Linked DNA regions of Xenopus tropicalis. The protein of the gene in region 1 binds, or shares a complex with, the protein of each later gene. Links are inferred from orthologs where the notes say so. Each region holds a gene or a part of one and is shown on either strand. Other genes may lie near its edges. The genes, in order: brd8, mbtd1 and anp32e.

Evidence for each region.
Region 2: brd8 (region 1) and mbtd1 share a complex: the UniProt entries of both Homo sapiens proteins name them as parts of the nuA4 histone acetyltransferase complex. The link is inferred for Xenopus tropicalis from reciprocal best matches to the Homo sapiens genes BRD8 and MBTD1.
Region 3: brd8 (region 1) and anp32e share a complex: the UniProt entries of both Homo sapiens proteins name them as parts of the SWR1-like complex. The link is inferred for Xenopus tropicalis from reciprocal best matches to the Homo sapiens genes BRD8 and ANP32E.

The regions. Positions count from the first base shown.
Region 1 is NC_030679.2:47,824,455-47,828,108, forward strand, and holds part of brd8 (bromodomain-containing protein 8), read right to left. Parts: intron 357-3,654; coding exon 109-356; intron 1-108. UniProt on the Homo sapiens protein: May act as a coactivator during transcriptional activation by hormone-activated nuclear receptors (NR). Isoform 2 stimulates transcriptional activation by AR/DHTR, ESR1/NR3A1, RXRA/NR2B1 and THRB/ERBA2.
Region 2 is NC_030686.2:23,303,528-23,307,181, reverse strand, and holds part of mbtd1 (MBT domain-containing protein 1), read left to right. Parts: coding exon 1-131; intron 132-860; coding exon 861-943; intron 944-1,743; coding exon 1,744-1,978; intron 1,979-3,654. UniProt on the Homo sapiens protein: Chromatin reader component of the NuA4 histone acetyltransferase complex, a multiprotein complex involved in transcriptional activation of select genes principally by acetylation of nucleosomal histones H4 and H2A.
Region 3 is NC_030684.2:129,186,575-129,190,695, forward strand, and holds the start of anp32e (acidic leucine-rich nuclear phosphoprotein 32 family member E), read right to left. Parts: upstream 2,821-4,121; 5' UTR 2,654-2,820; coding exon 2,600-2,653; intron 1-2,599. UniProt on the Homo sapiens protein: Histone chaperone that specifically mediates the genome-wide removal of histone H2A.Z/H2AZ1 from the nucleosome: removes H2A.Z/H2AZ1 from its normal sites of deposition, especially from enhancer and insulator regions.

The DNA.
Region 1 (3,654 bases):
TAAGTTTTTAATTCCTACCATACAAGTGGGTAATTAAAGACTTGTGTACTGCCAGGTGTATCTTAAATATAACTATAGTTAGTATCAGACATTATGCCATATTCATACCTTGTCTTCAATAATGGCAATTATGTCACCAACAGTTTCAAAGTCAAGTTCTTCCATGTCCATTTTCTCAGAAAGGTCCAGATCTGCCTTGCCTTCTGAGGTCTCATCTTTGGACTGTCTAACCCCATCGCTACTTGCCAAGCACTCTTTGTTGATTGAGTCTATTATCATGGAGATGTCACTGCTGTCCATAGATACTGAGATGGAGTGAGGATCTGAAGCAGAGTCATTGCTGTCTTGCTGAGTCACTATGTAAAAAAAAAAAAAAGGGTGAATTGGTCAATTAATAATAAATATGTTCTCTGAATGCAGCACTTTCAAAATCACTAGTTTCACTTTTCTAGAGCTTGAAAGACTTGATATATCAAATGCGGCCCCATTAGGGCCTTTATCAAGGATAATGTGGCATGAACCATCACATGTATTGTAAATAAATTGTGTAAACCACTTGGAAAAGAGTGCTGGTCCTTGATAACATTTTATAATAAGGATCAATCGTGCAACAGTTTATACACACATACTGTAATGAATATATGAACACAGGAAAAACAAACTCCTATAGAAAAGGGCTCACCAACATATTTATCTCAGGGGCTGATTTATTAATGACTGCAGGCAGCCACATCTGCAAATTCATTAAAAGCTTTGAACTTTTTGAGTTAATTTTTTTTAAACATTATATCAAACAAAATTTAAAAATGATATCACATAGCTCTGACCTACTAAAATGCCACGATTCAATGGGAAGTCGAAAAATTTTATTTAAAAAGTCTACTGTGTAAAAAACCTCTGTCATAAACATGGCAACTAATTATTAAAACAAGTTAATGTTAATTAGATCAATGAACATTCCCTGGTTCCCTCTTTCAGTAGCAACTGTAACTGTGCAAGTGCAGATACTTTCAAAAACAGAGGTTTTTTTAGTTACAAAGTTATACCATAGCACATTAAGGCATTGGTCTTACAGGGCTTAAAGGAAAACTATACCCCAAACAATGTAGGTCTCTATAAAAATATATTGCATAAACAAGCTCATATGTAAAACCCTGGGTCATCTAAATAAACCATTTTCATAAAAATATACTTTTTAAATAGTATGTGCTATTGGGTAATCCTAAATAGAAAATTGCCATTTAAGAATTAAGGGCCGCCCCCTGGGATCATAGGATTCAACAGTGCACACAAACAAGCCAAGGCACATATACATGCTAGGCCCCATCAGCCAATGGAATGGACAGAGTTCTGCCTTTTGCTTTCACATTACTTCCTGTTACAGTTAGAGCTGCATTATTTCTTGTCATGTGATCTCTGAGGGAGCACACAGCCCATCACAAAATGGTGTCTTAAGGTAAAGGATGTAAAAGGACAATATTTACACACACATATACATACATATATATACATATATATTCAAAAAGGTCCCAAAAGGGACCGAAACGTTGGTTGTACATGCAATTATAACACACAAGAGACTTTTTGAAACACAAAGACCCTTGGTGCTGGCTGCTTTGTTTTGATATTTATATATATATATATACAGTGGAGGAAATAATTATTTGACCCCTCACTGATTTTGTAAGTTTGTCCAATGACAAAGAAATGAAAAGTCTCAGAACAGTATCATTTCAATTGTAGGTTTATTTTAACAGTGGCAGATAGCACATCAAAAGGAAAATCGAAAAAATAACTTTAAATAAAAGATAGCAACTGATTTGCATTTCATTGAGTGAAATAAGTTTTTGAACCCTCTAACAAAAAAAGACTTAATACTTAGTGGAAAAACCCTTGTTTGCAAGCACAGAGGTCAAACGTTTCTTGTAATTGATGACCAAGTTTGCGCACATTTTAGGAGGAATGTTGGTCCACTCCTCTTTGCAGATCATCTCTAAATCCCTAAGGTTTCGAGGCTGTCTCTGTGCAACTCTGAGCTTGAGCTCCCTCCATAGGTTTTCTATTGGATTAAGGTCCGGAGACTGACTAGGCCACTCCATGACCTTAATGTGCTTCTTCTTGAGCCACTCCTTTGTTGCCTTTGCTGTATGTTTTGGGTCATTGTCGTGCTGGAACACCCATCCACGACCCATTTTCAGTTTCCTGGCAGAGGGAAGGAGGTTGTCGTTCAGGATTTCACGATACATGGCTCCGTCCATTTTCCCGTTAATGCGAATAAGTTGTCCTGTGCCCTTAGCAGAAAAACACCCCCAAAGCAAAATGTTTCCACCCCCATGCTTGATGGTGGGGACGGTGTTTTGGGGGTCATAGGCAGCATTTTTCTTCCTCCAAACACAGCGAGTTGAGTTAATGCCAAAGAGCTCTATTTTGGTCTCATCAGACCACAGCACCTTCTCCCAGTCACTCACAGAATCATTCAGGTGTTCATTGGCAAACTTCAGACGGGCCTGCACATGTGCCTTCTTGAGCAGGGGGACCTTGCGAGCCCTGCAGGATTTTAATCCATTGCGGTGTAATGTGTTTCCAATGGTTTTCTTGGTGACTGTGGTCCCTGCTAATTTGAGGTCATTAACTAACTCCTCCCGTGTAGTTCTAGGATGCTTTTTCACCTTTCTCAGAATCATTGACACCCCACGAGGTGAGATCTTGCGTGGAGCCCCAGAGCGAGGTCGATTGATGGTCATTTTGTGCTCCTTCCGTTTTCGAACAGTCGCACCAACAGTTGTCACCTTCTCTCCCAGCTTCTTGCTAATGGTTTTGTAGCCCATTCCAGCCTTGTGCAGGTCTACAATTTTGTCTCTGACATCCTTGGACAGCTCTTTGGTCTTTCCCATGTTGGTGAGTTTGGAGTCTGCTTGATTGATTGATTCTGTGGACAGGTGTCTTTTATACAGGTGACTAGTTAAGACAGGTGTCCTTAATGAGGTTGACTAATTGAGTAGAAGTGTCTAACCACTCTGTGGGAGCCAGAACTCTTAATGGTTGGTAGGGGTTCAAAAACTTATTTCACTCAATGAAATGCAAATCAGTTGCTATCTTTTATTTAAAGTTATTTTTTCGATTTTCCTTTTGATGTGCTATCTGCCACTGTTAAAATAAACCTACCATTGAAATGATACTGTTCTGAGACTTTTCATTTCTTTGTCATTGGACAAACTTACAAAATCAGTGAGGGGTCAAATAATTATTTCCTCCACTGTATATATATATATATATATATATATATATATATATATATATATATATATATATATATATATATATATATATATATATATATATATATATATATATATATATATATATATATATATATATATATATATGTTCCAATAAACTATCTACTGGTTAAGTATTCATTTCTTTAAATACCGCCCCTTCCAGTATCTATCCCTTAGCCTATGCCCAGTTCAATATGGTGGGTCTGTCTGAGCAAATACTGAATAAAGGATAAATCTGTTGGTAAAGTATTCATTTAGTTTTCATATTTAGTTTTCATATAGTTTTCCTTTAATAGCCAGCTATGCGGCTGTACTCATTCGGGCACATACAAGCAAAACACCTGTGTGCAAGAGTCTTTACTATAGATAGGGC
Region 2 (3,654 bases), on another chromosome or scaffold:
CTTAATGATTGGTATCGATGGTTCAGAAGCAGCAGATGGTTCAGACTGGTTTTGCTACCATGCCTCATCTCCTTCAATATTTCCTGTTGGTTTCTGTGAAATTAACAAAATAGAACTAACTCCACCAAGAGGTAAGTGTTTGTGTGTTTGACTTCTGGTGTGATTCTCACAAATAGATAACAGTATAAGAAGAAAATTATTCTTGTATAAAAATTACTTGATAGGTTGCTTAAGAAGCACATGCTTTTCTTATAGAGGAAAGCATCCTAATTTCCTGGGTTTTTTTTCTTTTTTTCTTTTAAAAAAAAAAAAAGTGAGTGGGGCTTGTGATGAAAATACACTTTGCCTATTGTTTTAAGAGAAGTTGTAGCTATTCCGGACTTGGTTTTTGCAGAGTATACAATTAGATTAGCAGTGCACTTAAAAGACCCTACATCAATGCTGTTCAGCTTCAGTTTCCTAGTTTACCCTGTTAGCTCAAAAAACATGGATTTTTCAGAATTTAAAAAAAAAAAAAAAAAAAAAAAAAAAAGGCAAGTATGTGTTGCATGTTTTAGAATGCAACTTAGTTGTTGGAACTGATTAAATAAGTGTGGATACAATGCAACTGAGATACTCAAATGTGTTTTGGGCATGAAAAGATGGGATCTTCACTTTTAGCCAGTTTTATGCAAAGGATAATAAAACTATATTTGTATTTGTTATTTGATTTATAAATATTTATTTATAACAGGACTATGGCCTATGCAGGTGGAAACATTTTTTAATACAGTGCAAAGGGCAACGTCTGGGTTTCTGCCTCAACATTTGGAAATGTCAATGTACATGATACATGTACTGATAAATATTTTGTTTTGCAGGCTACACAAAACTACCTTTTAAATGGTTTGACTACCTCAGGGAAACTGGATCTATAGCAGCTCCTGTAAAACTCTTTAACAAGGTAATACTTTATTTACCAATAGCCCGACATATGCCAAAACTCAATCAACCATGAGCACAAAAGTACATACTAACAATGGGTGGTAACAGACCTGTCCAGGTAACACTTTCCTTTAAATCTTTGCTGACATCTCTGTTTGGTAGTGGTTCTTATAAAGACAGTATAAAGGATGACTGCCAAGGAGTTACTGCCATAACCACCACCTTCCTATTTAAACTGGAGTTGTAGCTAAAACTTATTAAGGATTCATCTTAAAAATCAACTAACTAATTGTTCCTGTACAGAGGAATATTGGATTTAATGCCTCCCTGAACGTTTCAGTCATTACATAGTGTTAATAGGGGGCTTGATAAATGGGCGCATAAGGATTGAAACATTGCTGTAATGCCATGAAAGTGTGCAATAAAGGCATTTTATTTTAAAAGAATAAGAGCAATGCTGTTCCAGACTGTATCCAGGTTCGTGTTAAAGGGGGGGGGGCAGACCTCTGGTAAAAGAATTACACACAAATGCCAACATGTGCATCAAAAGTGAGACAACCCCCTCTCTTAAACTTGCAACTGATTCATTCAAGTTGCCTCAGTTTTGACACTCCATGAGCAATAATGTTGTTGCCACAATTACAATGAAATGAAATTATATTAATTGCAAAAAAAATAAAACTTAAAAATGCCAGCTCCACATTAAAATAGATAGATAATTGGGATGCATTAAAAATAGATCATTGGGATGCATGCTGCAGATGGCTCTGGTTTCTGTATTTAATGTGCCCTGGTTTTTACTTGTATTTCAACTTCCAGGAAGTTCCTAATCATGGGTTTCGTGTTGGTATGAAACTTGAGGCTGTAGACCTTATGGAACCTCGGCTTGTGTGTGTTGCTACAGTGACACGTATTATTCATCGCCTGCTGAGGATACATTTTGATGGCTGGGAAGATGAGTATGATCAGTGGGTAGACTGTGAATCTTCAGACCTCTATCCTGTTGGTTGGTGCCAACTAACTGGATACCAGTTACAGCCTCCAGCACCACAATGTAAGTCAAACCGGCTACAAATAACCTAGTTTATTTATCAGTAGTGTTAATTTTCTGCTAATTTAAAAAAATATAATTTAGGCAGAAAAAAGGACACATGTCCAAGTTCAGCATTTTTGTCTAAAAAAAACCTGTCTGATTGCTGGTTGTAGAGGAATGTGAAACCACCACCTGAAGCCTCTCCAGTTGGAATCAGGAGGGATTTTTCCCCTATCTGAGGCCAAGATGGCAATCAGACCAGTCCCTGGATCAATTTTTTTCTAAGAGCTAATATCAGTAGCCCTGTATTTTCACACTTGCTATAAAGACATCCAAATTCTTAAAGTGTAAGTCTTGAAGCTAACTAATGGATCTGCCAATGTAACTTTTTCTGGGAGAAAATTCCACAACTTTAAACCTCTCACTGTAGCTATGTCACTGAATTAAATAGTTTGGCAAAATCCAAATAGATTACATATACTGCAACCACACTATTCTACTTCTTACTCTGACTTGACCTGTCCTTTATATAACAATGGTGATTACCACTCATAAAGCCATTCTCCAGACATAATCGTATTTTCTCCACCGTCTGCTTGGGGGACACAGGAACAGAGGGGTACCACTGGTACCACTAGGAGGCAGGACACAACAACTAATAACGTTTTGGCTCCTCCTCTACTGGCTATACCCCCAGCAGGTGGAGCCTGGATCAGTTTTTGTTGTGTCCTCAGGAGGTTAGGACGTTTTATTATTTTCAGAATCTTTCAACATTAACAAGTCTGTTATTCTGACTTAGGGGGTAGTCAAGACCCCTACACTGAGTAGGAGGTCTCCCTCTGACACCCTCCAACGTGGCATTGCATTAAGTCTCCGCTGAGGAACTCTTCCACCATTACGCCCCGCATCGCATGGTGATGCGGAGCGCACTATTCGGGACACCGCCATTTTAAATTTGGGCGCTTCCTTTTCGCGCTCTTACCAGTTCGCGCCCCCTCCATTCAGCCGCAACCCGGAAGTGCGGTCCCTCTCGCACCACTTCTGACAAGCGCGTCTTACCTCCGGAACGCTTCTCCAGATATCTGGCCCTTCGGTTAGATCGCTGTCGGGCTGCCTCACAACAGCTCCTGCCCTGCAGAGGTTCTACTCTGTGTCCCCCGCACAGCTCCCACAGCCGTCGCAGAGGCACCCTGGTCACCTAAACAGTGGGGTTAGCTGCTGCCACTACAGCAGGCACTCTCCTGGGGGCCTCCCCCTCTCCCCATCGCTCCAACCTCCTGCTCCTCCATCGCAGGTCAGTTGTGTAGCGCAGTCTGCATACATTCACCAAAAAAAAAAGGGGGGGGGGGTTTCTCATAGCACTGCGTGTGTTCACTCCGCAGCTCCTCATCATGTCTTTAGCGCAGATAAAATTTTTTAGCCTTTGCCAAATGTCGCAAACCTCTACCTGTGGGTCACAAAGACACTATATGTGCCTCTTGCAAGCCGCGGAAGCAAGATCCGGAACTCTCACGACCTGCTCCCCCTCCAGTGAACCAACCATGTCAGGAAGAATCCTCTACACCTGCGGAACCGCTTCAGACAGAAGCACAAACCATCCCTGCATGGGCCTCTCAACTTGCTACAGGCATCCCCTTACTGGCTTTCTCACTGGACAAACTCCTCACACGGCTGGACAATCCCAGGGTTAAGCCCTC
Region 3 (4,121 bases), on another chromosome or scaffold:
CCCTCTAGGTGTGCCATTAATTAAAGTGCATCCACCTGAAGTACACTGGAGTTTATGCCAAATGAATCTGCTGTAGCTAAAGTTTGCTGAACTGTGTGAGCAGGATACATTAAGGGCCAAGACACACAGAGCTATTTAGTAGCAGCTGCTTGTCACGGCTATTAAACGCCAGGAAATCCCCTGCCATAGACAATACTGATAATTTCCTCTGCTAAAAACACATGTAGACACAACTATCAGTAAATGATCAGCATTGTCTATTTTGTAGCCATGACAAGTAGCTGCTACTAGTAGCTCCATGTGTCTTCACCCTCAGGAGGAATCTAAAGTTTTTTTCACAGGCCCCAGAATTTGGCCCTGATGATATGGGACCTTAAATAACAGCAAGCACCATCTAAACTCCCGCCATGAACCCTCCTACACAGCAACCACAACAAGGCCCTCCTGGGGTAACTGTACCCACCCACAGATCCTTACCTGTGCTGCTCTGGCACCGACTCACAAACCCTGGCATTCTAGGCTACTGCTTCTCAACCTTATGAATTAAGATCCAAAAACAGGACAGATTTATCACAATCCTACTTATTGCAGGGCTATCATTGGGAAGGAGACAAATGACAACTTTGTTAGGGTGAAGACACACAGATACTAGTAGCAGCTACTTGTCACAGCTACTAAAATAGACAATGCTGATCATTTATTGATAAATGTCTCCACATGTGTTTTAGCAGAGGCAATTCCCAGTATTGTCTATGGCAGTGTATTTTCTAGAGTTAGAAAAAGCAGCTGCTACTAGTAGCTCAGTGTGTCTTCACCCTCAGAGAGCAGGCACTACGTTTAATGTGGGTTTATCTACAGAAGTTAACTAACTTTTAAATTAATGAAAAAAGTTCACTTCCTATAAGGGTGAAGAAACACCGAGCTACTAGTAGCAGCTACTTTTTCATGGCTACTAAACTCCAGAAAATCCCCTGCCATAGACAATACTGAGAATTGCCTCTGCTAAAACACATGTAGAGACAGTTAGCAGTAAATGATCAGCATTGTCTATGTTAGTAGCCACAACAAGTAGCTGCTACTAGTAGCTCCATGTGTCTTCACCCTAAAGTTACATTTATTTGCAGTTAAAAGCAGCGTTTCTTTAATTCCTTTCTGGTCTCGGTGTCTGACTCATGAAACAATGTAGCCGGAGTCCCTTCCCCTTCAGGTCTGCCCATCAGCTGGCTTCTGCTACATTATTTCAGAAAGGCAGAGAAAACAATGCAGCGGGACGGAGACGCCGCTTTCGGCAGCAATTACAATCCCCAAGTGACTGAGCGTCGGAATCTAGAGAGGAAAGTGGCAGGAATGGCCGGTATTATTGTTACACATGGCCGGAGCACATGGTTGGGTGGCACATACACCCCACTGCACTATCCTATAGGGCAAGCAGAACTACAGCAACCACACTGACATCAAGCAACAGAACCGCTCCCTGGCTCATACTAAGGTCCAATCAGGGCACATATTGCTCAAATGATGCTTAACTACAACTCCCAGCAATCCCCAACGTACAAGGGTTAAAGCATGCTGGGAGTTGTAGGAAAGTAACAAGTGGGGAGCCAAGAATAAGAAAGCCCCACATAGACCGTCAGTTGTTAAACCACACTGACATCAAGCAACAGAACCGCTCCCTGGCTCATACTAAGGTCCAATCAGGGCACATATTGCTCAAATGATGCTTAACTACAACTCCCAGCAATCCCCAACGTACAAGGGTTAAAGCATACTGGGAGTTGTAGGAAAGTAACAACTGGGGAGCCCAAGGCTAAACCCCCCCAGACCTTCAGTTGTTGAACTACAACTCCCAGCAATCCTCAACGTACAAGCAAGGGTTAAAGCATACTGGGAGTTGTAGGAAAGTAACAACTGGGGAGCCAAGCCCCCCCACAGACCATCAGTTGTTGAACTACAACTCCCACCAATCAACGTACAAGCAAGGGTTAAAGCATACTGGGAGTTGTAGGAAAGTAACAACTGGGGAGCCCAAGGCTAAAAGCCCCCCACAGACTGTCAGTTGTTGAACTACAACTCCCAGCAATCCTCAACGTACAAGCAAGGGTTAAAGCATACTGGGAGTTGTAGGAAAGTAACTGGGGAGCCAAGCCCCCCCCAGACCTTCAGTTGCTGAACTACAACTCCCAGAATGCTCTGCTGGTGCTGGCTGCAGACGAACTATAATGGCAGCCACCTGTAGCTGAAGGGAATAGTAGTTTCCTTAGCGTTACAAGCACCAGAGGCTGCTGGGAGTTGTAGTTCATGCACCTACAGTGTGCAGGTTATAAATGTGGCGCTAGTAAAGCAGTGAGCGCCCCCCTCCTACTCCTCAGGGGCACTGGGCCCTCTCCTGCCATGAGGTGGGGCCGGTCCCTCTCTCTCCCCTCCCTCCATCACCTTCTCATCCAAACTTTGCGAGTGCGGGACAGAAAAGAGACGAGCCCGGCGGGCTACGGAGCGAAAGGAGATCCCCCCCACTATAAAGACATATATATACCCATACGAGTTCCCCCCCTCCTGCCCATGCACGGTGGTACAACCCATAAGCCCCAAAGAATCCCACCTCGGAAGGATTCCTGTTCCTCAACTCCAAGCTGATGCGCTTCTTCATCTCCATTTTCCCGGGCCAATGTCTTGACGCCTCACGCACAAAGAAACTTTCACCAGAACGGCGGGAAAACAACCAAAAATCAAGAGAAAAATAAAGCGAAGGCTAAAACCAAAACAGAAGTGTCCGACGCGGGCTGTTTGACTCCCCTCTCCACAGGGCTTCCTACTCTCTCAATGGCCGCTCACTAACTGAGACTCCATTACACAGCACAGGCATCCCCTTCGCTAAGTTGACGCCCCTCCCACGCAACGATTGGCTGTCCGCTCAGGGATCGTGGCTATTATTGGTGGTCAATTATGTCAGTCAGGTTCTTCCAAATAGAACGCCGCACCATTGGCTGGAAGTATGAGCGCAGTAAATTCGGATTGGCTGCTGCTTTTGTCCATCTCGGGGGGGATGCGTTGGTTTTTTTTAATTTTTTTTTTTTTTTTTAATCTTTTAATGTCGTTTGACCCAGGCGTCGTGTCTTTGTGTATTCAGTGCTTTCGCGCCCTATTTTAGGTCAGGGAAGCGTTGTGTGAGGTGGGATATCTGCTAATGTAGGGGCTACTTCGCTTGCGATAAATCAATGTAATGGTAGAGTAGGCTGGAATACGCGCAAGGATACCTTAAATGTACGATAAAGAGAAACACGAACTAATTGTAGTCATTTGTTACCGCCAAAATGGCTAGAGGGAAGGCAAAGGAGCCTTTTAGGTTATTTGATCGTTTGTCCTGGGCCCGTCTGTGGCCATATTGGGTACATATGTCGGCATATTAAGTCTTATATAGATATGAAGACGTATTAGTGGGTCCAAAAATTATTTTAGAGCCCTGTATAAGCTTTGGAAATAAGCCATGTAAAGAAATATATATTTTGAAGCTGGGTGTCTGTTATTATACAGCCTTGTCCAACTAGTACTCCCAGGGTCCTAGTTATGGTGTTAAATTGAGCAAATACATAAAGACTTGGTTGGTGAGGTTGCTAACCAATCCGATTTGGCCATACACGGGCCTATAGTAGCTGCCGATATGGGTCCCTTAAGCAAAAAAGTGTCTGCACACTCAGAAAGTACAAAAGAAACAAATCTTTTATTAAATACAAAACAGAAAATACAGCCCAACGCGTTTCAACCCAATAAAGGGTCTTCATCAGGAGAAAAAAAAGTTAAAAAAGGGGCAGGATATGTGTCCCTAAAGGTGGCCACACACAGGCAGATCCGCTTGCTTGGCTTCATCCGATATCCCCACCTACGGGTGGGGCCAAACGATCGAATTCTGCACGCGGCCTGGGGCCAAACGATCGAATTCTGCACGCGGCAATGGGGCAGTCGGTTCTGGGACCGCATCAACGAGCCGATGCGGTCCCCGATCCGACGGGATTTTCTAACCTGGCCGACCGATATCTGGCCAATTTCAGGCCAGATATCGGTCGGCCAGTCCGATCGTTTCTGCCCCTACACGGGCCGATAAGCTGCCGAGTCGGTCCAAGGGA